Oryzias latipes: one gene and its partners. The main gene of each other region encodes a partner of the protein of the gene in region 4 in a complex. Links are inferred from orthologs where the notes say so. Each region holds a gene or a part of one and is shown on either strand. Other genes may lie near its edges. The genes, in order: armc7, cript, snrpe, gpkow, ppil2, rbm48 and rbmx2.

Region 1 (4,185 bases), on a different chromosome or scaffold from region 4:
GAAAAATACAAACACAGGACACAAAAATAAGCTGCATTTTAAACCACAAAATGCAAAAATGGGCTCTCTTTAAGACAGTAACCTGGTTTGGAAAAGCACAATCTGCAGCTCAAATTCTTTTTAAAACTTTTTTTTAGAAAAGGAATCTCTGCAGCAGTACACCAACTAAACCAGAGCAGATTTCACACAAAAAAATTTAAAAAAAATTTAAAAAATGTAATCTGATAAAAGCAGCTGCACTAAGTGTCAAAAACGTGACACCAATGTAGAAAAGAGAAATTTGTGAAGTGAAAAAGCCCCCCACTTCCAATAACACAATATGTTTTACAAAAAAGATTCTTATTTTAAAGATATATTTTACAAAGACATTTATTTAGATTTCTTTAATTTATTTTAAATAGTAATTGCACTCCAGGTTGTAGAAGATACTGGTCAAAAACTGAAATTATGCTAAATAATCTACTAATTAAAAACATTAGTGTCTCATTACAAATGATTACTAATTATAAATTAAAAATGCTGTTACCTGCAGTCTTACACTTATATAATTAAATGTTAGTATTTTTTGTGGTGCAAAGAAAGAGTATGTGTCTGTGATGCCTTGCTTTGGAAATAAAAAGGGCTACAAAATAAAAATAGTTGTATTTTTCCTATTACTAAAGATATTTAAAGACAAAATTTCCTGTTAATGAAATTATGGTTTGGCTCCAATGTTAATTTGTACTTAAGGACAGTACAGACATGTTTTCAGTGTTTTTCTTAAACTTGATTACAATCAAACGTCAGCGTCATTACGCAAGGACAACAATCTCCAACGTTAAACACATAAAAAAATATTCTGAATATATAGACTAAAGTCTATATTTGCGTTATAACTTTCCTATTGTTTTATACAAAATAAGAAAATAGATCACCTGTTTATGTAAACAGTGGCAAGTCCAACAATGATGCTCCCGAACAGAATAGGTTTCGTGAGCCTTTTAGCTGCAGAGAGCTTGTGAGGCTTCATTGCTGCAGAACTTTAAATCAGAAGGTTCACGGCATAGAATCCAAACAGCAACAGAAACGTGAGTTTGTTTTCAGCTGACCTTCCTGCGCGTGAGTTAGTTAGCTGAAGGGACGTTGGAGCGCCTCAACTTCCGGTCCAGCACTGACGTCTATGTCGACAAAGAAGTACCGACTTCCGTTTGAGAATTGAATTTCGTAAAGTAATTTGCTTTTATCGTCTATGACAAAAAGTAATCATTTAATTAAATTAAATCAAAGTGATTTATTACCGAAACATTATAGGCCTAATTATTAAAAATCACAACGTTTTAAGTGATAAAATAAATTGACAGCTCTTTTTTATGTAAGAACAGCTTAATTCTACTTTTGGGTTTCATTTTTAATTGTTATTCTGTTGCGTTAACAGTTCATCCAGTCTTCAGAAGAAGAAAAAAAAAGAGTCACGAAACAATATCCCGGAACCACTGTCCAAATTCTAATTTAAGCCGGACGTATTTGAAAGACGGACAAAATGAACGAACTACTGAAACCAAATGCATAAATGAGGATACTATTTCAAATGTATTTTATTTTTTTGTTTTAATCGCGCGTTTGTCTTCTTAAAAACACAATATAAGATACTGAATGATGAAACGGAACTTTTCACCCGAAACCTCTGACCGGTTTGAATATTTACAGGCTCTTGTCACAGAGTTTCAGGATAGTGACAGTGAAGGTAAAAACACAAATAGCTCGCAGATTCATTTAGAAAAACTAAGAATTATTGCTAGTTTACAACAAATTCTTTGAAATTAAATTGTTAATGCATAAACATTGTAATGAAAGCATGTCTTACTTATATCAATCCATGATAGTCACTTTATATATATATATATATATATATATATATATATATATATATATATATATATATATATATATATATATATATATATATATATAATTATTTTTTTATTTTTATTTATTTTATTATATATATATATATATAAACTACAAAAATTTAATTTTTAAAATCTGAATGCTTAGAAACAGGACAGATTATTCAGGAAAAAAACAATGCATTTATCTTTTAAGATTTTTTTTTTTAAATAATTATGCTTTAGTAATTCTGACGATCATGTTTGAATACTAAATTAAAAATGCATAATGACGTTTTTTAAAAATCAATAAAACCAAAATTTAACAAATGCCATTTAATGATTTATGCTGATAGACTTTTGCAGCCTTTTATATGCAATATATAAAGGATCAAACTACATATTATTGTCCGTCAATAATTTTTTAGGAATGCAGGTCTTTAGTCTTATTTTTAATGTTGAGGTGTAAAAAAGCGCCCTCTGGTGGATTAAATTTATCTTGCTTTTGGTCCTTGTTCCCGTTTCAGTCATTAATGTCCAGTATATGTAATTTAATTGAATTTGAATCTGATTCTGTGTTTTTTATTTATGTTCTGTTGTCGTTAGAGGCAAAGGAGCAGGTTTTGGCAAACCTCGCCAACTTTGCTTACGACCCAAAGAACACAGAGTATCTGCGACAGCTGCAAGTGACCGACCTGTTTCTGGATATGTTGACTGAGAAGAACGAGAACTTTATTGAGTTTGGAATGGGTGAATCTTTTTAGATTATCATTTGGGTTTTTTTGTACCATAAATGCAGTGAAAAACATTTTTTTTGGTCTAAATTTTCTCAGGTGGGCTCTGTAACCTCAGTATGGACCCAGACTGCAGGGACCTCATCCTGGACAGTGACGGCATCAGCTTAATCACAAACTGTCTGTCAAACCAGAGGGAGGAGACAGTGCTATCAGCAATTACTACCCTTATGAACCTTGTGACTCCAGCTTCACAATCTCAGCTCACAGAGCCAGGCATCTTGCAGTGCATGCTGCGTTTCTCTCTTGCTGAGAGTCCCCGGCTGCACAACCTAGCTGCTGTGTTCCTGCAGGACTGCTGCACCAAGGATCAGGTCAGGCAGGCCGAGCAGCAGATGCAGGGACAGCAGATGGCTGTTGGGATCCCACTACCCAAAGACTAAAGACTTTGCTTCACAGTCAAGTGGAAACAAACAGTGACCGTTTTGGTTTTATGATTGTTTAATTTCTGGTGTTTTCAGCAGATGTTGAACCGATCTGGAGGATTTCCTTTGAACAAAATCCACCCTAAAGTTGGTTATGAAGAGAGGAAAATTAAGCTGCTTGTCCAGGTCTTGCACCTCCTCTCATTTGCAGCTGGAGTTTGCACAGGACTCATGTCTTCACTGGATCAGAATCTGAATATTAAGATGGTTTTTGTATGTTTTTAAGCACAAGTACATTTATAAAAGTAATTTGAAATTTGCTCAAAACAGGCTTCCAGCAAAATGAGTATATTTGTTCTCATGGAAAAATGGTAAAGATGTGTTTTACTAGACAGAAAATAATTCCTTTCAAATGTTGGACACCAACTGAAAAGGTCAGATACTCATCAAAGGAAAAATGAGGGAAAGTTTGTCTGTAGTCGTATTAGATTTAAAAAAAAAAGACATATAGAAACCCAAGTTATCCTGCTTTCATGGGAGGAATACGTTTCTACCAACTGTCACTAATCAGCAGAAATACCAAACCTCATGGAAGCCTAAGTTTGTGGCTTTCTTAGTCTGGATAATTCAGGTGTCTTTTATTGAAATAAAAAAAATCTACAGAAGTTCTGCCTTCGTGTGAGTGTTTGGCTCTCCTCCCTTTAGTCCTGACTTGGGCGGCATGATATGAGGAAAATTTGCAACATTGGTGATCAATATTGCGATGACAATATACTTGCTACATATCAACAAATAGCAAAAACAGCTGCATTTTAATTTTACAACAACAAGGGTTAACCCTTGTGCTATCCTAGACATTTTAACGTTGGGAGTTGGGTCATCTAGACCCACTAGACAGTGCGCTAAACCTTTTTTCTTCAATGATTTGTGATCTTCACTGGTGTCAATGGATTACATGACATCTTTCCACCTTTATCCACATTTGTCATGGTAGGGAGAACACGTCGATGTAAGGGTGGGGTCATCTAAGATATCACAAGGGTTTCGTAAAATGTAAATAGTTTCAATTATTTACACTCCAAATGACCCTCGTCTACCTATGAGGCGAGCATCTAACATAAAAGGGCTCCATCCGATTGGTCAAATGCACAAAGGGATTTA
Region 2 (4,042 bases), on a different chromosome or scaffold from region 4:
GGGGCTCCATAAAGGACAATCACAGTGTGGAAGAACAGACATGACAAGAAAAAGTACAGACAGGCACGAAACAGCCTGGAAAGCTGTGGAAAGAAACAGGATTATCATTATTACCAAAAAGTTACAACGTAGACATTTGAGAAAAATCCACTTAAAAAATGAACAATTTTTATATGTAAAAGCTCAGAAAAATTATTTTTTTATATGAGTTTGTTGTAGCAGAAAAATGTTAATAAGCAACAATTGCATATAGACTGTCATATGAATTTAAAATGTTTAACGTGAAAATAAAGCACTGTAGCAAATGTTTATAAACTCAATTAAAAATGTGTTCAAATCAGAAATACACATTTCTAATTATTACTGAAACGTCCATTTGCAAATTTGTTTTTTAAAAACGAGACAAAACGTTTACGAGTAAATAATAGGAATTAATTGTTTTGAAAAACCTAGTTTTCTATTATTTTAAATTGTGTAATAATTATTTCTGATACTTCTCTCATATACGTATGACTATTTGGCAAAAACCTTAAACAAATCAAGCACATTTCTTTGGGTTTGGACAAAATAAAGACATTTCCGAGGGAAGACATTCTGACCTTATATCCAAGTGTATTTTTTTTAGTGGACGGTGTGACGCCGAGGAGCCAGAAGACGACGACACTGACAGCATTCACAGCACCGGATGTGCAGTACAGCCACAACAGGTGAGTGCCGTACACCGAGAAGCTTAGAACAAAAACTGCAGGTAGCACCGTAGCCATGAACATCGAAGCGGCGATCAGAGCGTGGGTCGACACCATGGCTCTGATTTCGTGGTCCCACATGATGAAGACTTTCACTTTTCACAACAAGACAATAGAATAATGTAGATAATTTCAGTAGAGGTGTCTTAGAATTTTGGTAGGCGAAAGGACACGCAAATCCATGTATGACTACGCTTCCGTAAATATGAAAAAAAAAAAGCAATTTCCGTTTGCGTTTCACAATAAAACAGAAGATTCTCTTTTGATTGTTAATTTCTACCAATTTCTTTGTTTTGACATACATTACCCAACATATTTAAATCATATTCAACACTTTATAATAAAATACTATTTTCTAAAGTGAAATTTATATTTTCGAGTGCTGATTCCGTGGCGAAAATATTGTTACTCTCATTTTACTTTTATTCTGGATTTTAGAAATGCGCTTCTAGTCGGAGTGAACGAATCACATAACGTTTTACTGACAGGATTACCCAATGAGATTTGTTTGTACAAGTTGACGAAGACAACCGGAAGTTACATGAGCAGAGCTAGCTTGAACGCTTGTACACATTTTATATCAAGACAGGCCAAGTAAACGCAGCTGAGATGGTTTGTGAAAAATGTAAATATCGCACTTTCGCCTTGTTTCTTACATAATTTTACACTTATGACTTAGTTAATATAGTTAGTTAGTGACATTTTTGTTGTTTTGTTGAGTGGCTAATATTTTGTTATGCTAGCATTTGTTTTGGTTTTCCTTGCTCGTAGTTAGCTTTGTTAATTATTAATAATTCTTTGTTAATGTGGGATTTCCTAATATTTTAGGCGAAAAGAAGCTCGGAAAGGTCATCACTCCTGACACTTGGAAGGATGGAGCACGAAATACGACTGGTAACGTAGTCTCTATCCAAAAACATCCAAAAATGTTTACACGTTTAATAATTTAGACAATCGTGGAACGACAGGTAAAATAAATATGTTGCCCCCAAAAAATCTGTCTTGTAAATGAACGTCATTAAGGAATCGAAACGATGGAAGGAGAAGCTACTGCTAAAATATTTATTAGAACAGTACTCATTTACATATCTGTTTTCCCCGTCGGTCGGTCGGTCGGTCGGTCGGTCTGTCTGTCTGTCGGTCTGTCTGTCGGCTCATTTTCGGCCTACATCATAAAATTGTCTATTTATTTAAAAGTATTTATGCCCTACGTTCCTTTTCAAGAAAATGGTCTGTGACCCTGTCGTACCAACTAGGTGTCTCAACTGACTTGACCAATGTCCTCTCAATGGCCAGCAGAGCTAGGCTGCTTAAACAGCCTTAGCCCATTGTGTTTCGGGTGTAGGACTTAAGTCACTTTAAACAGGAGAAGCTCCTTTCTACACCTGCAGATGTAACTCCAATTGTTGCCACTAATGAGAACAGTTTGTAAAGCTGAGGCATTGGACTGTCCAACTCCATGTCTTTAAGGAACACCAAGTAATCATACAGCTTTCCCCTGTTACCCTGCAAGTCCTGATCTGAAAACAGGACTTGAAGTTCTGACCTCAGTCTTCCTGAATCAAAGGGAAGAATTAACTATCTAAAAAAAAATATTAAACTCTGTAAAACTGAAACAATCAATGTGGTGTATAATTGTGTGAAATGTATGATGAAAATCAAGCAATTTAGCCCAGCAATTATCAAAGAAATAGGTTGCAGCAGTTTTTAGTTCGACTGAACTTGAGAAATGTGAATAAGCGAAAAGCTTCAGTCAGAAGGCGGTCTTTTAACAGACCCTTCAATCATCACGGAGAAGCTCGGAGTTTGGGCTGGCCCACTCCCCACTCACCCCCAGAGACGCTGAGCATCCGTTGGCGGGACATAATCACAGCGTTTATCCAATGACCATCTAGTTTCGAAGCGCAGAAAAAAAATGTTCAAAGCAGCCCGATTGAAGTCAATGGACGCTGGGCTTCTTTAGAGAAATGCACTGTGATGCTGCGGGAATGTATGAGAAGGAAATCGAGTCAGGCGACTTGCTATATGTAACTGATTCTTAACGAACTCGTCTTTGAGATGAACGTTTTCTTACACATTTTTAGTCAATAAAATGTTAATAAAATAAAATACAATACAATACAATAGTACATATTTGACCATTTATTTTGTGACATTATAAGGGAAGCAGAGCTTCCCTTGCAGTCTTAAAGAAATCGCCACTGGTATGTATGTATGTACATACATGTGTATATATAATCTCACAATGTTGTTTTATTTTTCTTAGAGAGTGGAGGCCGTAAACTAAATGAAAACAAGATGTTGACATCTAAGAAGGCCAGGTGAGTATTGCACTGTGAAAAAACTTTTACTCATAAATCAAATGGCAGTGTAGTAGTTTCTAGCTTTCTGTAAGCACTAGTGGTTTATTTTGCTGTTAAGGTTCTTTGATGTTGCTAATTCTCAATGTTTAACTGTGGTTTTTCTCAGGTTCGACCCTTACAGTAAGACGGGCTTTGCCATCTGCAGAATCTGCAAGAGCTCTGTTCATCAGCCTGGATCGCACTACTGCCAGGGCTGTGCTTACAAGAAAGGTATAGTTGTGCACTTAAACTCTATTTTTATTTTCTTCAATACAAATTGAAGGTAACATGTCAAAAATTAACACTACAATGTATTGTAGAACCAAAAATCATATTAAAGCAGAACAGTATTAAGTAGGTTTTTCATTTTTATGTTCAGTCATAATATTGATATAAATTTGTCTGTAATTTTGTAAATCTTTACTATAACCAACATTGTGCTGGCATATGTTTGTGCTTCCATAACAGATGCCCATTTATATAAATGTACACATGTTGGCAAGTCCTTTATTATCTTCTCACTACACACTTTAATTTATAAAATATCCTTTGATGTAAATGTAATTTTTTTAGGGTTCCTGGTGACTGATACAAAGAATTTAAAGGTATAGGAATAGGTTAACTTAACTGTTTGTTTATGTCTGTAAAGTATTTGAACTGAGTGATGAAATTCAAACCTCAAAAGCCATATTTTTACAAACCTCGACCCCAGCCCCAAGCACTCGGCTTGCAGAAGTGGATACAAGGTTTTACATTGATTGCAGAATTGCATGTTGTGCCCCAAATATTGCAGGTTTTGATGAAGTGGTCAAAAATAGCCCCTGAGCTAAAAATTATGCCTGAATATATGCACAACCCAAACTGCTGTGAAACAACAACTAAATGGGCAAAAATAAAATATTTATTTATTGAGATGTTTGTCAAACTTTGCTATTCAAGTGAAACCCAAAGGCT
Region 3 (4,014 bases), on a different chromosome or scaffold from region 4:
GAAAAAAACAAAGCCATTTATTCTCAAAGGTTGTAGAGAAACTCACATTTATGCATAAAATCGTAAGCAGTTAACAGAAAAAAAAGACAGGATCTGCAGTCGTCACTGGTGTCACTAGGTAGAGACACTCTGCAGCAAGGTGATGTTGTCGCCCTTTAACATAACCCGACCTGTGAAACAAGGAAAGAAATTTATCTTGACATTTTAAAAACTGACATTCCTGAGTGTATAACAAATAAATACTGACTGGAAAAATATTTCTATGTTTTCCTCAAACAAATATTTTGTTACAGCAGTTCTAGAAACAAAAGCTAACAGTACATGTTAATAAATACAAAGAATATTCAAATTTTTCATTGTAAAATAAATAAATAAAGCTGTTCTAATAACTGCTAAGATCAAAAAATAGTAACTGAAATTTAACAAATTAAACAAGCTAAAGAGTCTTACCCAGTGGCTTTCTGTTCTTGGTCTTCATGTGGACCTCCTCAGCATCATCTAGAACCAGGTTCATGTACTCATCAAAGCCCTGGAAAATAAAATAAAAAGGAAATAATCAATTAACTACTTTCATAACTGAAGCTGTTTGGATTCATTTAAATTCAGGCTCTCAAGGTTTTTCCCCCCCAAGAAAACGGCACAGGTTGTTTGTTTTTATTTCGGCTAAAAACAGCATAATCATAGTTAAAAGATCACCGAGAATGTTCTGAAAATAGATTAAAGTGTCAAGAGTGTAGGACCGGCAATTTCAATTGGTCTCCTAATTCATGCTTAGTTTGTCATTATGCTGTTCTCATTGATCATTTACCTACTGTATTGTGAGTCTGAACCAGTGTGTGTTTTTTTTGTTGCCGTTTTCAAATACATTTTTAAATCAGCTGCAGAGTTCTGCTCTACTGGTAAGAAAGGTGCCCGCTGCAAAAGCAGCTAAAACAGAGCCCCAAAATAGTCGTAGAAAAAATTTCTGCAAAACAGTTTTAAGTTGATTATTGTGGATCTAACACCAGCCATTAAGAACTTTTACCAAGCTCCAATAAAAAAAATAACTAAAATGCTAGGTCAGTGGTTCTCAAACTTTCTCTTGTTCCCCCTTTTGGAGCGGAGAAGGAAAACCTGGAATCGTCGATCGTTTTTACAGTCTATACCAGTTTTAAAGTAACTGTGGCACACATTTGGAAAGTTAACAAACACTGTGAAAGTAAAATAAAGAGAAATCTTACAATGATGCAGCCTTCTATCCGCATGTTCACCTGCTCATAAAGCCACACCTGGATTCGTGAGCGCTGCAAAGCAAAGATGACACGAATCAGTATTTCAGTCACCACCGAGACAAAAGGTGAACCTGCAAGAGCCTTCAATACTCACGTTCTGAAGGTATCTGAAAATGAGGTTCTGATGAACAGAGTCAAGGAAATGACATGTCTAAACCGTTTCAATGTTACAGAAGATATTTCAAATAACATGAACTAGTCATTTCAATTTCAGTAGAGTGACACAAACTGTTTTGCACTTTAACCGGAGAGCTGAGATCCTGTTAAATACCAGTGAATGTCATACATTTCAATGTAAGCCAGTGAAAAAGGACTTCACAAACCAATTACATGACCGAAATGATGAAATAAAGCTATGGATGACGCAGAATTTGCTCGAAAGTCCCACTCAGATCATTTTGATCTATTTTTGAAGTATTATCGGCGGTCTTTTAACGTTAGTTATGCCTTTTACCAGCTTACAGAAATTCTGCAATTGTTCTAGAGTTTTACAGTTTACTATTTAACTTCTGCTGATGTATCCACGTTATAACGTAAACTGTAGGGCAACCATGTCAAAACAACTGAAGACACGCTTAAAAATGGATTTAAAACGGGTTCTGGCATTAGATTTTCTCTTATTTATTGACTTTGTTAGGGGTTTTTTTACGAGTCAAATTTTAATGGTATTCTTAATTTCTTTAACATCTTTTTTATTTTTTTATAGATGACATGTCACTTCATAATCAAGAAAAATAAGAAAACAGGTCTCACACACTCACAGGGACAAACTTGAGTTAAGTTAAAAACCAAATAAAAAACTACAAAATATGACCAATTGTTACAACAAATCAAAAGAACATTTAATTATCAGACCAAAGTAGTGCATTTAACTAATATTATTAGTTTAAGTCGTTAAGTGCAACATCTCGATTGTTGACTTCTTTTTTCACTAAAAGAAAACTCTGCCAAAGGTAAACGTGTCATTGTTTTCTTCTTTCCAATTAAACAAACGTATTTTTGTAAAATGTATAATAGTAAATTGATAACCCATCATATTGCTATGTACGTTTAGAAAATGCTAAAAATGTTTGTTTCAAATTCAATTTCTTTCGAAGTACAACGTCGTGCTTAAATTTGATCGATAAACAGAAAAATACGTGCTTCAATACTGAAATTAAAAAAAGTCAGTAAATATGCATTCCAATGTATTTAGAAAGTCATGTAGTACCTAGAAAAAAAAGGAATACAGTTTACCGATGAGCAAACACGAGAAATAACCGATTAGCATCGCTGCTAACAAATGCTAACAGCAAAGAAAGGATACAATGGGCTGCACCATAACCTTCTGCACCTTCTGTCCTTGTCCTCGGTAAGCCATTCTCTTCACACGCAAAAAAGACACGCAAGAAGTATTTCGTTAAAGAAATATTGCCTTTTACAATTGAATGATTTCAACGTTCAGCTCACGATGCCAAGTTGCCTTAATGGCGGGTTTCTTTCCGCATCCGGTTCCTGCACTGAAAGGTTTCCCTTCACCGAACAAGCGCCACCTACAGGCAGGATGTCAATACTGCACAATTTGATATTTGGTCAAAAATTACGTTCAGTGTGAAATCCTTCAAATATGCAGACTAATTATGACTTATAAAAAGTATGAAAACACATCTGGTACCAATTAAAAGGCTAAATTTAATAATTAAGTTGTTTTTGAGTCACCATATTTTTTGTCAACGTCTGTTTCAGTACATATTTATTTCTTAATCCTGAAGGGAAAAATACAAAGGTTTTGCTTCGACTTTTTTCTTGTACATTTTCAGTAATCGTTTATTTTTGCTTGGATTAATTTCAGTGATTAACACAAGTACCAATAATATTTGAACAGCTTTCATATAGCAGAAAAGAAGGTTTAAATATTGATACATCAACTAGTTTGGATATAGCGTCATTTACTTCATAGATGTTCAATTGTTGGATGTATATAGTCTAATTTATCATTTAGATTTTTATTTTTTTATTTTCCTATTACACATAATATTAACAAGCATACAGATATGTAATTACTGTAGTTGTTTTTGCAACACAAATTCAATAAGTGAAAATTGTTGATAATTTTTGTAATTTTTCCATAATTGTTCAAACTTTTTATTATTATTATTTTCTTACAAGTAATTTTGTTTTCAATATTAGAGTTTAATTTTGTAAACTATTTCCTAAACATTTATCTTGACCAGGTTCTACTGTCACAGCAGTGACCTATTTTATCCAAAAGAGGGCAGCAGAGAAAAACAAAAACATAAGAAACAACTCGAGCCCAAGATGAACATTAGTAAAAGGTTTCACTTCACTTTCCTTATAAATAAACTTAAAGTTCTAATCTGAGTTCTACAATAAACATTGTTAAAAAGTGCAGTCGATTTAAAGAAGTTGTCTATAAAAGTATTTAGTCAAGAAGGTGAGAGGTACAAATGATTCTTCTTGTTCAGTAGTGTTCTTTCTTCAAAAAGGTTTAGAATTTATCGCATAACTTTTGTTTTTGATTAAATGTGAAATATATTTTCACCTGCAGATGCAGACCTATGAATTTAGCAGGAACATGAGCTCCATTGAGGAGTGTTTTTTCCCCACCTAAGATTTTTGTGAGCTAAATTAAGAATATAAAACATAAAAACATGTATGTGACTTTCTAATTACATGTGTGTTAAATTAAATTAAATTAAACCCCACTCTCTCTCACACACCTAAGTGTGCGAAATTTGTTTCC
Region 4 (4,266 bases):
CATATTCGCGCTCGGCATGTCAGGTCCTTCCTTCTCCCTAAGTCTCAAGTCTTCAGATCACATGGGGTTTCTTCCAGAAAAGCTATTTAGTAGAGCCAATAACTGACGCCCTATTAAGAAAATTAAAAATTGCATTGATTAGAGTGAGTGAAGGTGTCGGAGAGTGGAGGCAGGCGAGATCAAGCCGAAAATATACCAAGGTTGACGCCTCACTGTCGTTAAATGCGATCTTGTTCTGAAAGAACAATCCACATGTCTCATGTTTGAAGGTTATCTCGAGAAGTTCCAGAACACAAAGGGGAGGGCAGGAAAGAAAAGAGTTCAAGTACCGCCCCCTAAAACAGTCTGTGCACTACCTGGATCTGTGGTATCACCTTTCGCTGTAAAGTCTCACTTAAGGCAGGAACAGGAAGGCAGACATAATGTGAAGGCATGTTTAAACCAGATCATCTATCTATTCAGTCCAAACAGACTGATAACAAACTCGTACTATTTTCGTTCTAAACTACAGAAAAGCAATGGGAGAAAGATGTTACATTTTAAAATTAAGTTTTAAAAATCAAGTTTAATTTCTGATTAAATTTAGTTTTGGTGTGGCCTTTTTCTCATGATGGTGGACATATATAAAGAAATAGCACTTCTGAATATACAGTCAAATCGTTGTGAATCAAATACTGATGGGAAAATATTTGTTCGAACATGAATGTCTGTTTTCCCTGTCTGAGCTGGCATCTGGCTCAAAACTGTACAGTTCGATATCTCCAATACTGGTCACCATTTTTGTTGCACCTCTATTGTTAGGTTGGGGTTGTGAGGGGCTGTAAGCGGGAGAGAGTGTAAACAAAAGGATGATGGGAAATGAAATGAGGACAGGCTAACCCTGCTCCAACATTCCCATCTACAAGTCACAAGTCATAGGCGAATTTCTGATTAAATACTGCAGCTCTGCAGAACCTATAGCCTAGAAAACGACACAGATTTTTTTAAAATTCCCCAAAATGGCATCACCATAAATAAAAGATCACTGGGAATGCGTTTACAATAGATCAAAAGATGATTGGAGTTGGGACTTTAGATTATAAAATGAATCAATCAAACTGGTTAGATTGATCAAACATTGTTTACTAGTTTGTGTTCAAGGGGTCAGAAATGAGTGTCAAACAACTTGATCTAAAGGTCTAGATTACTTTTTTAACTTTCTTTTTTTAATTTAAGCATCTAAAACACAAGCAAAATATGCTGAATGTTTTTGTATTAGTAAAATGTTTTTACTCTTTATGGTTTTTTGTATGTAATATCATTTATTAAATCACTTTTACATTAGTTTAATTGATTTTTGTCATTACTTTAAACAGCTAAATATAAGCTATGTAACTTTACGCTTTGATGCTTGATGGGCAATGTAGTCAGAAAAACAAAAGAAACGCTTGAGGGCGATGACCAACACTACAACTCCCACAATACACCGCTTCAGCGTGGATCTTCAAAAGCAGTCATGGCGGCTCAGGGAGAAGGAACAGCGGCTTTTAAATCTGTCCCATTTGAGGACAAGGGCCAGAAGAAAACATCGATGGTGTCATTTGGGTTCACAAAAACAGTTAACAAATTTAAAACCCCCAGCGCGGAGGAGTCGAAGAAGAAAGAAGAAAAAGATTACTTGACCGGGATTCACGAAAAGGAATTACAAAGGTAAGCTAATGCTAATAACGCCTAGCATCAACGTAGCATTTGCGTTTCCGAATCTATGAGTAAAATGTCTTTAATTTAACATATACGCTCTGTGTTTGTTTCTTCTTTATTTAAACAGGAGAGCGCGTGTTTTTAAGTTGTGCTGTCTTCTGGTTATTTTCATTTTTTTGTGTCCTTCAGCTCAAAACAAACGGAGAAACCCAAAGAGCTCATCATCCCTCTGATCCAAAAGAACCGCTGGCACAAGCCCGACCGAGCGGGCCAGAACACGGAAGATGACGGTAAAGCTCAAGAAAAAGGCCAAGACAGCGACTCTGTGGAGTCCCAGGCTGTCAAAGAACTTATTGAAGGTAATCATTAAAGCTTTAAATGTCATCCCTTTATTTAGTTCCTATCATGGAGATGTTTACTCTAAATGTTTCTATAAAGCTCTTCTAGGAAAGTGAAAGGTCTAATTTAGGGTAAAGGATGTTCTTAGCATAATAAATTGACAGATGCGTCTATTACTTAATCTTAATGGATCAAAATGTAGATGATGTGTTATTTTTTTTACAAAGTTCACCATGGTTTTATGATGCCCTGGACCCACCTCTGTTGCCATAGAAACCTGAGGTATCATCCTCTACAGACAGGCACACACTGGTCATATCACGTGATTGGACCAGTCTGCTTTGTTTTTATTCCCAGTATGACATCCCGAGCCCCAAGTATTTCTTGTGTTCTCATCCTCAGAAACTGTATCTGTTGTTTTCTGAATACAGTAAATGACGACGGAGTTTTAGGGCCACCAAAAAAAAAAAAAAAATTAAAATTACGACATTTTATCTCGTAAATTTACGAGAAAAAGTCATAGATTAACAAGGAGAAGACACCGAAGTTGTCCGTTTATCGGATCATCGCTTGAAGATGAAAGATGTGGAGCCTTTTGTGAAGCTTTATTTTCGGATTATTATAGGTTTAAAACAAAGATTCTGAACCTTTGGCGACTCAAAATCAGATTATTGTCAGTAAAGGCGGCTTTCCGAGGTTCAGTGTCAGCGGAGTTTCATATGTAAAATAAGGACCTAATACTCCGTCGTAGTGAATAAATCCTCCTTTTAAAAACAAAAAACAAAAAAAAAAGGTTTGTTTAACTGACCTAAAATTATCAGACATTCCATCCATTCATTCTCTAAACCTACTGAATCCCCCTCGGGGGATAGGGTTGCTGGAGCCTGTCCCAGCTACTGATGGGTGACAGCAGTGTACACCCTGGACAGGTCGCCAGTTCGTCACAGGGCCACACACTCACTCTTAAGGGATCTTTTAAGTGGACTGCTGGAGGAAGCCGGAGAAAACCTACTCCGGTACAAGGAAAACATGCAAACTCCACCCGGGATTTGAACCAGAGCCTTGTCGCTGTGAGCCAAGGGTGCTAATTAATGCCTACATTCTCAGGCTAAATCAAATCTTGTATACTCAATTGAAGCCTCTTTTTCTTTCTAATATAGGGCATTATAAGGATCCTATAGTGACAACATTTTCAAAGGCAATTTTTCAGATAAAAGACTTCAGTGTCACATTTCTAGATGTGTACTAATTACTTACAAATGAGTAAATGACTAAAGAATTCTTAAAATGTTTGCATCAAAAGTTAATTTACTTTGTTGTTCAATAAAACCAAAAAAAAAAGACAAATTTCTTCCTCAAATACCTGAAAAAACTCACTGAATAAAGGATATATTTGTGCTTAAAATCTTTAACGAATGTGGGGACCTTTTGTTGATCACTTTTGTTGCCTTTAACCTCTCCAAGTTTACAGTTGAAAGGTCCTGGTTTAATGTCAAAGCTGCACCTACTTATTTGCAGTGCTTCTATATCTAAACTTTAATTAATAAAGAAATATAAAGACTCATCAGCTCTCTCATGTCTCAGATTCCCGGAGGCAGCTGGAGCAGTGGCAGAATGGGTCTGAATCAGAAAAAAACCTGAACCTTTCCATCCCTCTGTTGATGCAAAACAAAGTGCCAGAGGGCTTCGAGGATGGAGACCTAATAAATGTGGGGCTACGTCCTGAATCCGTAAGTGTATTTCATGACCTTTTGTGTGTTTTCCATAAAGGAATCATTAATTCTTTGACCGCATTTCCATCGTATGAATGATTAAACAAGTCCTTCGACTAGAACAAAGATTTAAATTGCCCACTATAAGTTAAGGAATGCATATTAAACTGGATGAACAACCTAAAAGCTTGAAGTCCTAGTCCGATCATATTTTGATCTATTGTAAAAGCTTTCCCACGTGATGATGCAGTTTTTGAAAAACCTGTAGTTTTCCAGGACATAGCTTATGCAGAGCAGCAGGAGTTAATTCAGAATTTGCGTCCGAGTTGTAGTCGGGACCAATGGCACAGAGCAACCCCGCCCCCCCTTCCTTTCCCCATAACTGAGGGGATGAAGCGGGGAGCTTGTGGCCCTGCCAGCATATTTTTTCATCTGCTCCTGATTCACAACGATTTGAATAAAGAAATACTCAGAGATGTCATTTTGAACCTTATTTTCTCAATATATGCCCTCCTTCATGTGAAAAATGTCACAA
Region 5 (3,500 bases), on a different chromosome or scaffold from region 4:
TGCAGAGAAGACGACCAATCAGAGCAGCCCCAAAGCTGGATCTGTGGGAGATCAGCCTCTGGAAAGGTACCTTCCAAATATGGTGTGCTTCCTGTCCAGGTGGGGGCAGGACCGGAATGTGATGAAGCTGAGGAGGAGGAGGAGACGTTGAAGAAGATCTGCTCCAGGCTGCAGCCCAGAGAACATGAAGAACATAGATTCAGTTTCGTGTTTGGGTTTCCTCGGTTCCAGGGACCAAGGTTCCTTACAACTGAGACTTGTTGGTGTTCGGACCCGAGTTGGCCATGCTGAGGACCCCCCGGCCCGCGTGGGACAGGTTGGGCCGGAACTCGTCCTTGAAGGGTTTTCCCCAGAAGGATTCGCCACCTGAGCAGAACCGAACCCACAGAGACTTCAGAACCAAACCTGCCCTAAAGGAAGAGATCCAGCAGCCGTGTGCACGGACCACACAGGGTTCCAGCTAAGAAACATTATGGGATGTCCAGCTGGAGATGGAGCTTCCCTCTCTTTGTGGAGAGTTTTGTGCGTTTCTGCGGCAGCAACAGTCTCAGGTTTGGATCAATGAGGATCTTCATCTGATCCCAAATGCATTTTATACTAAAGACAACAGAAATACGTTTCCGTCTCATTAGAGACGAGCCTCCAGGAGAAGAGGAACGCTGGTCCTAGAACCCGCCGCCGCCGTTCAAAGAGACCAAGATGGGTGTCATGTGGTCGGGTCTCACACATATAGCGACAAACATGTGGCAGTCGTCGGCATAAGGTGGAAGTTCACCTTATGAAACAGCATTCCCAGTGGCAGCAAGTAGATAGAAGATAATGGGCCCGGTCCCCCCCCCACAGACAGACAGACTGCCCCCACCCCAAGTGCCCCTCGGTATCTTTGGCAGCCCTGAGTGCCTCTCTCAGGTCCCCACAGGTTCAGCATCTCTAAAGAGGACCTTCAGTCATTCAGAGCCGCTCCGCCACTGAAAGCGGTCCAAGCTCCGCCTACCTGTGCCGGTGCCGGTCGGGTCTCCTCCCTGGATCTGGAAAGAGAAAGGGTCAGCTTTAGAAGATGGAGATGCTGTGTTCCATCACCCGTTCTCTGGATGTGTGCAGAGCTCCTGCTCCACGTGGAGACGTTCAGGTCTGAGTGCAGAAAGGTTGACGGGTGGATCGTAGTGAAGGAGGAGCAGAGTCCATGTTCCTCCCCTCACCTACAGACTCTGGGTCGGACCAGGAGGAGATCCTGGATGCAAACGTCTGGAAGGGGGGAGGCAGTGGCTGCTCCTTAGAGGGAGGGTGAGGAGCTCAGCAAAGAGCCGCTGCTCAGGGAAACTCCCCCAGGAAGGAGACCCAGAGGAACCGTGTTCCTCAGCTTGCCTGGACTTTGGGGTTCCCTGACTGATCTGGAGAAAGGCTCTGGATGGAGGACTGGAGACCAGCGGTTAGCCTGCTGCCCCCCGACTCCTCATGAGGAGGAGGAGGACGGAGGGAGCTTGGAAAAGGAGCTGGACTTGATTTGGATCTGAACGGGTTTGGGTTGACGTTTCCTCTTTAATCAAAGTACCCAAATATGTGAATATCTATTGCAGCTTTTGATCAGCAGACGCTCCAAATATTCAAACCTTTGGGACCCGGCCTGTTCAGCAGAAGCAGACCTCCCCTCTAGGGCTGCACGATATGAGGAAAACTCGTGATATGCGATATTGGTGATTAAAATCGCGATAACGATATAATTTGCGGTATATAAACAAATAGCCAAACAACCAAAAACATCATTTCCATTTCACTGCAACAGTATAAAAATTATACTCCAAATGACCCTTGTCGACATAGGAGGCAAACATCAAACATAAAAGTGCTCATCTGATTGATCAAAAACGTAAACGGGTCCTTCTGATTGGTTAAATGCATAAAGGGATTACTTGCATTTGTTCACCATTTCAGGCTGCCATGAGTTTGTTTTTGCAAATTTGAGGTAACCATTTATTGCGATTTTTGCCGTCTTTTGCGGTATGCATGTTGCACAGCTTGATGTTGCGATGACGATAAATTTGCGGTATATTGTGCAGGCCTTCTCCCCTCATTTGCTAAAAGCGTCTCTTCCTCACCATGAAATTCCGGATGGACCTGTGAAAGGCGGTCCCGTCGTAGTAACCCTTTTTGCACAGACGGATGAAATTCTCTCCAGCTTTGGGAACCTGGTTTGGGGGGGGGGGGGGGGGGGGAGACAAACACTGACGGTCAGACACGAACACATTCCAGGTCTGATGCTGCACCACTTCCATCCTACACTCCCAAAAACCAGCCGAACGCTCCACGTCGTCATGACGACGGTATTTAAAAGAAAGGAAACTGTGTTTCTTGTTTTATGGTTCTGATGTTTTTAGTACCAACAGAGAAAAAAGATCAAATAAAAAACGACTACGGCATCAATAAAGGCTGCATGGGTTTAAACGCAGCGTCTGACGTCACCTTATCGCAGTGCAGCTCCAGGTTCAGGTCTCCCAGGTTGGTGTGCAGGCGGACGTAGCCTTTCTTCTTCACGTACTGGTACCGCACAGCATCATCGGCGATGGCGTCTGCCACAAAGACAACGGTAAAAAAACGAACACCTGAAACGTGCAGACAACAGCGACCGCTGCACACATGGGCCGCTCCAAAGGCCTCAGACATATTGGGGTTCAGTCGTTCCTCTCTGAGCAGATTGGGTTCAGACAGTGGAAACGCAGGGCGAACTGGATCTCAGTCCGATTGGAAATAACCGAGACCACCTCAAACGATGGGTCCCAGTGGACCCTGATCCTTCTGGATCAGGGTCCACTTTGGTGTATTCAGACTAGTTCTGGTTTACTTTACGTGAACCAAGTGCGTCCAGTCTGAATCCAGCCTTAGAGGAGCGTCAGGACTGGACCAGCCGGTTCTGCTTCAGAGAGAAATCCAGTGGACCCAAAAAACATTGCCTTATTAGAATTCATAGAAAGTCTAATGTACCGCCTCAGGATACAATGACATAAACAATAATAATAGCTTTTATTCCCTTTCATTTATCTTTTTAAAGTCAGTGAACACGGCTGCATCCCAGCAGAAGCAGCAGACAAAACCAGGTCAGCGGCTGACGTGCAGAGGAGAACCCACAGGAACAGATCCTAGCTTACCGGCTTCATGGATGGTTGAAGGAGTCATGGCTGTGGAGGTGAAGGAGGCGGAGACTCGGCCTGTTGAGTAGTGGGCCTGGACGGGGACACAGGCAAATGTGTCATGTTTACTTTCTGCATGGACTCAATGATTTCTAAACCAATAGACATGCTGTTCTCTCAAAGTACAGACGGAAAAATGCAGAAAAACAAAGAAGGAGAAGCTCACATCAAAACCCATCTGCTGTAAACAGATTTAGAACCTGTCAAAGACCGGCTTCCATCACAACAAAGAACAAACAGGCAAACAACAAACAAACTAACAACCACCAAACAACAAGCTAACAGGCAAACTACAAACAACCAAACAACAAGCTA
Region 6 (3,815 bases), on a different chromosome or scaffold from region 4:
CCAGTCATCAGATGACAGTGGCTCCACAAACACCTGATTCAGCGAAGAGACTTGATGGCATGGTCTGAGAAAACACTGTGAAAACCACTCAATGTCAGACCAATGTTAAGAGACTGTTGCACAGGCAGTGTTCGTCCCAGTTGATGACCTAAAGGAAGAAACCAAGGTCTTTACCTGTTCTCCATCAGTCAAACCGAGCTTTTCTCCAAGCTGCCGAGACAACTCCACTCTGTGGCTGTCTGCTCCTAAGGAGGCTCTGATGGGACACCAGCTAAGGAACACTGTCGACCCGCCGTCCCAAGACAGCTCCAAAGCCTGATTCTAAAACGGACCGGCCAAAGAGAGACGATGAAATAAGACACAGAATGGTCTCTTAAAGCGGATGTCGAAATTATGATTCCAACTTTATGAATGTTAGATACTTGTGATACCTTTATTAGTTTTTATTCTTGTACATTTTGTATCATTACATACATTTCAGATTTTATGCTCAGCAGAAGAATTAAATTAAAAAATTGCAAAAATATTCCACAGGTGTGGTAGCAAAATATAGAAATATTGAGATGATCACATTAGTTATTATAATAATCAACCTTTTCTAAATTAAACTATTTCTAGGAGTTAATGTGTTAAAAATCAAAACAATGCAGTTTCCTTTAGACTAAAGACCCCTGAATGAGGACAGTATTTGATGCCCAATTTCTATTTTTACCAACAATTCATTTTTTGTTGCCTTGCATTACTTCCTAATACTAATTAAGTACACGTGATAATAAAAAAATGCTCTGCTTTTGTTATAAGTTTTAATTAAGAAAAACTAAAACCTTAAATGCAACCAAAGGTCCCCTTGTAATGTCAGAGAAACAAACCAGCAATGTGTAAAACACAAAAGCAGTCATTATTCAGTAAACTTTATGCAACAAAACTGAAGCGATGTTAAGTAATTAGCTAATACTTTACCTCATTCAGAGAAAGGTGCGATATCAGCTTTGAAGAGAGTTGAATAAAGCAGTTTTTAGTGTTGTTAAAAACAACACATACTGGTTGAATTCCCTGGTTGCTAAACATGACGTTTACATCGCTATTTTAGCATTTAAAGTGCTTAACATGCTGGTGCGCTAACGGCCAAAGTGCAACAAACATTTCGATGAATGAGAGAACTGATCCAGACAAAACAGTCGATTGTCGATGGAATCGATCATTTCAAAATAAGACTGCCACGTCGTCAACACTACACGTTGAGTGCTCTGCACAACGGAATGAACTCTTGTTTTGAAATGCCACCAAAGCGGAAACGCGTTTCAGCAAACATGGCGGCAAATGTCAACAGTAAACCTGGTTGTTGGAAGGTCCCAGAAGTCTACAAACATCACGAACAACACAACGCATGTTTTTCTAGACCCAAATATAGAGATGGAAGGAGAGCTAAAGCAGTCAAGGTAAGAAAAACGTTTCTAATGTTTGTAGCAAAGACGGTCTGTGTTGACGCAAGCGACGAGCTAATAATTATGTGTAAGTTGGTTTTATTTTTACATTTAAGAATGTAAGAGAAAATTTTAAAATCTTTTTTTTTAACTGGAAGAAAAAAGTATAAATTGTAGTCACACAGCAAGTGATAAATAAAAGACCAACGGCAGGTCTTAAAAAAACAAATAAAACTGTCGTTTTGGCAAAAATAAATAAATAAAATTAAATAAAAGACATGGTAAAAAGTTTGAGTCATTTCGAAAAAATTGTAATTAATAAACCATAAAAATCAAATTTCTAATACAGTAGACTGGATTTCTGAGTTGCAGGAAAGTACATCAGATCTGATGATTATGTCTTTAAGTTAATTGATTTTTATTGGTCACGTCAACAGCCTCACATATACTAATAACCATGCCTTTGTATCTGCCAGGTCTACACAATAAATTTAGAGTCCCGTTATGTGATGATCCAGGGAGTCCCCGCTATTGGAGTGATGGAGGAGCTGATCCAGTTGTGTGCTCTTTATGGAACAGTGGAGGAATACAGACCGCTGGACGAGTATCCTGCTGAGGAGTTCACAGAAGTCTACCTGGTCAAGTTTCAAAAACTGACAAGTGCTAGGTATGGCGGGCACCTTAACTGTACTGCCCTAAACCAGAAATGCTGAAAAATATGTCATTCAGGTTGATATTTGATGTTCCAGAGCGGCGAAACGTAACATGGATGAGAAGAGTTTCTATGGCGGCGTGCTGCATGTGTGTTACGTCCCGGAGTACGAGTCTGTGGAAGACACCAAGTTAAAGCTGCAGGACAGGAGAAGTTATGTTCTGAAAGTGGCTCGGAGTAGAGGTATTATCGCATTTTGACGATATACGGTGTTGAAAAGCACTGAATCTTTTTTTTCTTAGGTAATTGTTTTTTAAAAGTTCAATGAAAAAAAACTGTGATTAAAAAATTTTTTTTGTGTATTTTTATCTGAAATCAAATGTTTTTTGTTGTTTTGTAAGTTTAAAGTATAGATAAAGAATTTGATGAGTGTCATTTATCTGTTTCATGTTTATACAGCAAAAGAAAGAGTAGCGGATGCGGTACACATGGAATCTACGTCTTCAGAAAGCGTTCCCACATCAAGCAGAGTTTTTGCTACAAATAATCCAATCTTCAATAGTGACAAAACAGGCGAGACTTCAAGCTTCAGCCATTGTTCCGGATTTCCTCTACTGCCTTTACCCCCGCAGGAATACTTTCATCAGGATTATCGTGGGAACGAACCAACAGAAGATCAAATGGGGACTTTACATGACGCAGTGCCTCCTGACGTAAAACAGCAGAAAGTCCAGAACTTTAGCTCTTTCAGTAAAGACCCTAATTCCGAAAAAAAATTGGCCTCCAACCCAGATTCTTCCGTCAAGCTTGTTCCAAGAACTGCACATTTGGAAAAGAACAAACGCCGCAAAATGGAGGAGGCCACAAAACAGCCAGTGCCTGATTCTGGAGAACCGTCTTTGATTGGACCAAAACTACCAGAACCACATAAGCTGGACATGAATGATCAGTCGCTAAACACAACAGTAAATCTGATCAGGGGCACAATGAAGCAGGTAGTCTTTTATTTTTTTTTTAATGAGAATTAGAGCTTGACATGATGCCATATTGGTGCATTTCAGTCTCATTCTTTTCATTCATTCCTAGGTGACATCGGTCCCAGACCTCAAACCAGCGGAGAAGAAGGTTAAGCCACGCCGTCGGATATGATCCATTCTGTTTTAGTGACGACTGTCCATATTTATCAAAACTAACGTTGAAAGGCTCAACTTAAAATAAAATTGTACTTTAAGAAAAACATTTTGGCTTTTTCTTTCATGAAAGTCTCAAAGTTGAACACCGCTTGCACTTCATATTTTATTATTCATCTTGCTGCTTTTCCAGTACTTGCTGCTCAAACTTCTTCTTTGTCTAAAAAGAAAGATTTAAGTTAAATAGATCCTTACAATATTTTTAAGCTCAGCAACTTTTGGTTGTGATTACCCTGAAATTGGGCAGGCAGCTTCCAAAGGCTTCAAGGAGTAGCTCCTCCTTTTTTACAGACTTCTCAAAATCTTGAAAAGACAGCCTGCCGTCTTTGTCGTGGTCCTGTGGAATCACAGGAAGCAATGTTGGCATGTTACCAAAATAAATCTGCACACATCAAGACAAAATTCTTACAATCAACATCGATCCAAATGTGACAAAGGCAGATGGGAGGGCAACATCTCACCATTTTTTTGAGGACAATTTCCATCAGTTCGTTGATCTCATCCTGTTCATCTTGATAGTCGTCTTCTCTGCCTTCCTCTTCAAGCCGC
Region 7 (4,000 bases), on a different chromosome or scaffold from region 4:
AAATGTTCCAATGTGAAAATACGTCTGGAAGCAGCATCACCATCATAAACACACTAAAAGAGGAATGGACAGACCATTTGGAATGATTTAATGAGAATGCATGGACGAACTCTAATTAACACATGATTCAGATAATTTTTAGGCCTTCAGAGAAGCCCATCACCATTGAAAATAACAACTTTAAAACACCTGTGTCTGACTGATGCAAAAAATGTACCCCAGATGGGCAAGTACAAGTACCCCTGCTAGAGTAAGTCTGTCCCAAAGGGGAGATCTTTCACTGTATAGCAGAACTGAACTTCAAAGCAGGATGATTTAAACAGAAGCAGGTGAGAGCTGAGAAGGATACAGTCTCTGAAGAGGAGGGGGTCGCCCTTCGAGGACAAGATGAAGAGCTGCCGGATCATCCTGCAGAGGATAGAGGACTGTCGGGGCAACAGTTCACCCCGGTGGGACAGCTAGGGGGAGTTTCAGTGCCACTGCAACATCTGCAGAAACAACATCTGCAGGAACACGTCCAAGTCTGTCTGCAGAACTGCAGTCAAGCCGAAATAAAGGAGAAAACCCCTGTTTATGGGGGAAATGACAAACAAGCAGCATCTCATATTCACTGCATGAAACTAGTTATTATGAGGAAAAAAATAAACTAACAATAAACAATCAGATTGTCTGGTGTGTGCTACTGTAGGTGTGCGTCACACATTAATCTCAAACGTGTTAAAGGTGACACTGAGTAAAGCGGAATAGGGTAAAGACAAGTCGAAGGAAAACTGAATTTACCTGAAAAGATGACACAGTTCAGACGTTTAAACTGAACTTTAAGTGTTTTAAAGCCATGCTAACGTGGAATTACAAATCATTTTCCAGTTCCACGTAAAATCTCCTGCAATGATGTCGACTCTAAGAAAGGGTGTTATTTAAACATTAAAAGCTTGAAAAACACAACACGCTTTAAAACGTCCACTGTCTGGTTTAAGTGTTGCATCCTGTTAAAAATGAACTGTTAGCTTGTTAGCGCCACCTGTCGTGCAGGCGGAAAGATTGGACGCTTGCTTTTTACAGACAGAACATTCAGCATTTCACAATTTCTTACAAAAATAAAATAAATACATTTCTTGTTTATTAAAAGCAGCATTCGGGCAGTGTTAGACGCTTCGCGTTCGCGCAGTTTTCTCGTTCATTTCATCTGTAGTTCGGTCATCCAACCACCAGGCGGCAGCACACGCAGAACCTCCACAGGAAGTGCACCACTTCTCCACGCTTGGTCTTTGGCACCATAACATCGCTGCTGTTCGAGCTCACCATGAAGTAAGTAAACGTTTCCCTCTACAGCCATTACATTAGTTTTTATTTTTCATTTGGTAGAGAATCCCTTTTCTGGTCGTTGGTTTCCTGTTGAGCGGATTCCAGCCGATAGCAGCAGGCTTTATGTTTCGTGTGTGTCGCCTTTTCCCCATTTCCATTCAAATTCTCCACTGTAGAACTTCAAAAACTTCTAAAAACTTCTAAAAAATCAAATTTGATTTTTTTAAACTTAATAGACCAGGTACTGAATAGCCACCTACTGAATTCGTACTTGCGTTTGATTGTATTTGCATTTTAGAGGTGTAACGATTGCATACCAATCAGTGGTTGTTGATGTGATTCAATCATTCGATAATTGTTCGTTTTATCCGATTCAGTGACCTAATGGATCCAGGACATCTTTATCCAAAACATCATCCAGTGTGACTCAGCGAGAAATACCTGCTACTGAAATGTGAAGTTTTCCAGATTCCTTAGATTTCTTCCAAGATAATCAAGTTTAAATTAAATATGTACAAACAAAGAATTAAAATCAAATCCATCCACATTTTAGTTTCCTGAAGTTCAGCCCACTGTTGTTTTTCCACATCCAAAGAATCCAAAGGGAACATTCTAGCACACTGTGTGGTCACATGACTTTCTAAATTCAGTTTTGGACTGGAATGATGGTTGATCAGTTTTTGATGAAATTACATGTTTTTTGTCTGCTGTAATGCACTCTGTTAATTTTGATTGTGTCTGAATTCCTTCAATACTCACTACCTAGGGGGCACTATGTAGTGCACTATATATTGCCCTATATAGTGCACAACATTCACCATGTTGTAGTGCTGTCCGAACCTACAATTTCAAAGTCGAGTGCCCTAGAAATTTCCCAGAAGTCTCTGCGAAAAAGCAGTGTGCATCGAGTGAATATAAACCACAATGCATTGCGTCGAACAGTTTTTGCAATTTTCTTTTTTTATGTTAGGGTGGGAACTTGGGGCACAGCCTTTATGTTATAGTAAAATGACCTCACCAGGTCTCAATCCAAACGGTGGTTTCCAATATCGATTCAATAGGCAGAGCTGAAGGTAGCAGAGATGAAGATGTTGAGGTTCTCTTTGGGAGAGACCAGGATGCATCAGGAATGAGTCCATCAGAGGAGCAGATCATGGTTGATATTTGGGACATGAATGCAGATGGAGATGGTTTGGAGGAGCAGCAGTGATGATGCTGAGGTTACAGAAACCAGGAAAGAGGCCTAGCGGAAGACCACAGAGGAAGTTCATGGATGAAGAGGAGGGCATGAGGGTTGTTGGTGGGGACGATAGAGGAGAGAGCTGGATGATTAATGTAGCAACTAAGAGACAAAGAAGATATGGTTGAAATCTTCATAATGTTCATTATGTTGAGATGGTGCATAAAAAAATAAATTGATGAAACATGAATATTAGAAAGCTGACCTTCAGGTTTATTTCACTTTGTTTAAATGAACAGAATCTTGACTGCTGTCTTCTAAAACACTGAAAGTTTCCTGCCGGTTGATTTGTTTCAGTCCTCTGACGAAGGTGAAGCTGATAAACGAGCTGAACGAGCGCGAGGCCGACCTCGGGGTCAACGAGAAGGTGTCGTGGCACAGCGAGTACCGGGACAGCGCCTGGATCTTTGTGGGTGAGGGGGCGGAGCTTCTCACAGGAACCTGCAGTAAATGAAGCGTGAAAGCAGGTGGTTGACGTCTGTTCTGATCCTGCAGGAGGCTTCCCCTACGAGCTCACAGAGGGGGACCTGCTCTGCGTCTTCTCTCAGTACGTACCCACAGCCTCGCTTTGGGGTGGGGTGGGGGCACACACCGCTTACTGATGTGTCCGTTCAGGTACGGTGAGATCGTCAACGTCAACCTGGTGCGCGACAAGAAGACGGGAAAGTCCAAAGGCTTCTGCTTCATCTGCTACGAGGACCAGCGCAGCACCATCCTGGCTGTGGACAACTTCAATGGCATCAAGGTGAGGCCCCCACCCCCCACCCGGGGCGGCGCCACTGTGAGCATCCTTAATGATGAAGCTCTTTCTCCCCTCCAGATCAAAGGACGCACCATTCGCGTAGACCACGTAAAAAACTACCGCCCCCCCAAAGACGGCGAGGACATCGATGATGTCACCAAACGCTTGAGGGAGGATGGCTGCGCCCCCACGGGCCCTGCCGCCCCCCCGTCCTCCTCTGAGGATGACGAGCAGCTCGTCATACCTGTGAAAAAACCCAAAAAAGGTGAGGTCACTTCCTGTTCTGTCATTTATGAGGGGGAGGGTCAGTTTCACCTGTACTCTTCTGCTGCAGACAAAAAAGAGAAGAAGAAAAAGAAGAAGGAGAAGAAGAAGAGCCGAGCTTCCTCCTCCTCACCTCCCATCCGAGTCAAAGAAGAAAAACGAGACACGGCGTACGACAAGTACGCCACGGGGGGGTCACAGAACGGACACAATGAGACGGAGAGGAGGAGGGAGGAGAAGAGGAGAGACAGAGATGTGGAGAGTAAGAGAGAGACTGAACGAGAGAGGGAGGACAGAAGGAGAGGAGAGAAGAGGAGAGAGGCGGACAAGGAGAGCTCCAGAAGATAGATGGAGGAGTAAAGAGAGGAGAATGATACATTCTCTCCTCAGCAGAAGAGCTCCCCCTGCTGGCTGACATCCTCCTGTAAACAAAGCTTCCATGAGAAGCC

What was found.
Region 1: gpkow (region 4) and armc7 share a complex: the UniProt entries of both Homo sapiens proteins name them as parts of the minor spliceosome. The link is inferred for Oryzias latipes from reciprocal best matches to the Homo sapiens genes GPKOW and ARMC7.
Region 2: gpkow (region 4) and cript share a complex: the UniProt entries of both Homo sapiens proteins name them as parts of the minor spliceosome. The link is inferred for Oryzias latipes from reciprocal best matches to the Homo sapiens genes GPKOW and CRIPT.
Region 3: gpkow (region 4) and snrpe share a complex: the UniProt entries of both Homo sapiens proteins name them as parts of the minor spliceosome. The link is inferred for Oryzias latipes from reciprocal best matches to the Homo sapiens genes GPKOW and SNRPE.
Region 5: gpkow (region 4) and ppil2 share a complex: the UniProt entries of both Homo sapiens proteins name them as parts of the minor spliceosome. The link is inferred for Oryzias latipes from reciprocal best matches to the Homo sapiens genes GPKOW and PPIL2.
Region 6: gpkow (region 4) and rbm48 share a complex: the UniProt entries of both Homo sapiens proteins name them as parts of the minor spliceosome. The link is inferred for Oryzias latipes from reciprocal best matches to the Homo sapiens genes GPKOW and RBM48.
Region 7: gpkow (region 4) and rbmx2 share a complex: the UniProt entries of both Homo sapiens proteins name them as parts of the minor spliceosome. The link is inferred for Oryzias latipes from reciprocal best matches to the Homo sapiens genes GPKOW and RBMX2.

The regions. Positions count from the first base shown.
Region 1 is NC_019877.2:19,373,009-19,377,193, forward strand, and holds armc7 (armadillo repeat-containing protein 7), read left to right. Parts: upstream 1-1,385; 5' UTR 1,386-1,632; coding exon 1,633-1,723; intron 1,724-2,471; coding exon 2,472-2,615; intron 2,616-2,698; coding exon 2,699-3,042; 3' UTR 3,043-3,689; downstream 3,690-4,185. UniProt on the Homo sapiens protein: As a component of the minor spliceosome, involved in the splicing of U12-type introns in pre-mRNAs.
Region 2 is NC_019877.2:12,480,875-12,484,916, reverse strand, and holds the start of cript (cysteine-rich PDZ-binding protein), read left to right. Parts: upstream 1-1,242; 5' UTR 1,243-1,355; coding exon 1,356-1,371; intron 1,372-1,574; coding exon 1,575-1,640; intron 1,641-3,012; coding exon 3,013-3,067; intron 3,068-3,215; coding exon 3,216-3,319; intron 3,320-4,042. Other genes in the region: pigf (phosphatidylinositol-glycan biosynthesis class F protein), read right to left, coding at 1-83, 600-827. UniProt on the Homo sapiens protein: As a component of the minor spliceosome, involved in the splicing of U12-type introns in pre-mRNAs. Involved in the cytoskeletal anchoring of DLG4 in excitatory synapses.
Region 3 is NC_019863.2:23,629,254-23,633,267, forward strand, and holds the start of snrpe (small nuclear ribonucleoprotein E), read right to left. Parts: upstream 2,801-4,014; 5' UTR 2,632-2,800; coding exon 2,578-2,631; intron 1,393-2,577; coding exon 1,366-1,392; intron 1,284-1,365; coding exon 1,221-1,283; intron 530-1,220; coding exon 451-529; intron 171-450; coding exon 115-170; 3' UTR 1-114. UniProt on the Homo sapiens protein: Plays a role in pre-mRNA splicing as a core component of the spliceosomal U1, U2, U4 and U5 small nuclear ribonucleoproteins (snRNPs), the building blocks of the spliceosome.
Region 4 is NC_019865.2:21,307,798-21,312,063, forward strand, and holds the start of gpkow (G-patch domain and KOW motifs-containing protein), read left to right. Parts: upstream 1-1,466; 5' UTR 1,467-1,495; coding exon 1,496-1,689; intron 1,690-1,869; coding exon 1,870-2,039; intron 2,040-3,603; coding exon 3,604-3,749; intron 3,750-4,266. UniProt on the Homo sapiens protein: RNA-binding protein involved in pre-mRNA splicing. As a component of the minor spliceosome, involved in the splicing of U12-type introns in pre-mRNAs.
Region 5 is NC_019867.2:622,324-625,823, reverse strand, and holds part of ppil2 (peptidyl-prolyl cis-trans isomerase-like 2), read right to left. Parts: intron 3,220-3,500; coding exon 3,144-3,219; intron 2,568-3,143; coding exon 2,461-2,567; intron 2,187-2,460; coding exon 2,097-2,186; intron 1,029-2,096; coding exon 995-1,028; intron 367-994; coding exon 249-366; intron 128-248; coding exon 71-127; intron 1-70. UniProt on the Homo sapiens protein: Has a ubiquitin-protein ligase activity acting as an E3 ubiquitin protein ligase or as an ubiquitin-ubiquitin ligase promoting elongation of ubiquitin chains on substrates.
Region 6 is NC_019869.2:21,761,754-21,765,568, forward strand, and holds rbm48 (RNA-binding protein 48), read left to right. Parts: upstream 1-1,262; 5' UTR 1,263-1,277; coding exon 1,278-1,439; intron 1,440-1,900; coding exon 1,901-2,091; intron 2,092-2,173; coding exon 2,174-2,319; intron 2,320-2,535; coding exon 2,536-3,071; intron 3,072-3,077; exon of another isoform or gene 3,078-3,162; coding exon 3,163-3,225; 3' UTR 3,226-3,315; downstream 3,316-3,815. Other genes in the region: pex1 (peroxisome biogenesis factor 1), read right to left, coding at 1-75, 175-321, 961-1,068; efcab1 (EF-hand calcium-binding domain-containing protein 1), read right to left, coding at 3,376-3,426, 3,499-3,603, 3,728-3,815. UniProt on the Homo sapiens protein: As a component of the minor spliceosome, involved in the splicing of U12-type introns in pre-mRNAs.
Region 7 is NC_019872.2:23,468,251-23,472,250, forward strand, and holds the start of rbmx2 (RNA-binding motif protein, X-linked 2), read left to right. Parts: upstream 1-1,200; 5' UTR 1,201-1,303; coding exon 1,304-1,308; intron 1,309-2,842; coding exon 2,843-2,958; intron 2,959-3,040; coding exon 3,041-3,092; intron 3,093-3,160; coding exon 3,161-3,290; intron 3,291-3,365; coding exon 3,366-3,552; intron 3,553-3,621; coding exon 3,622-3,899; 3' UTR 3,900-4,000. Other genes in the region: ap4m1 (AP-4 complex subunit mu-1), read right to left, coding at 350-407. UniProt on the Homo sapiens protein: Involved in pre-mRNA splicing as component of the activated spliceosome. As a component of the minor spliceosome, involved in the splicing of U12-type introns in pre-mRNAs.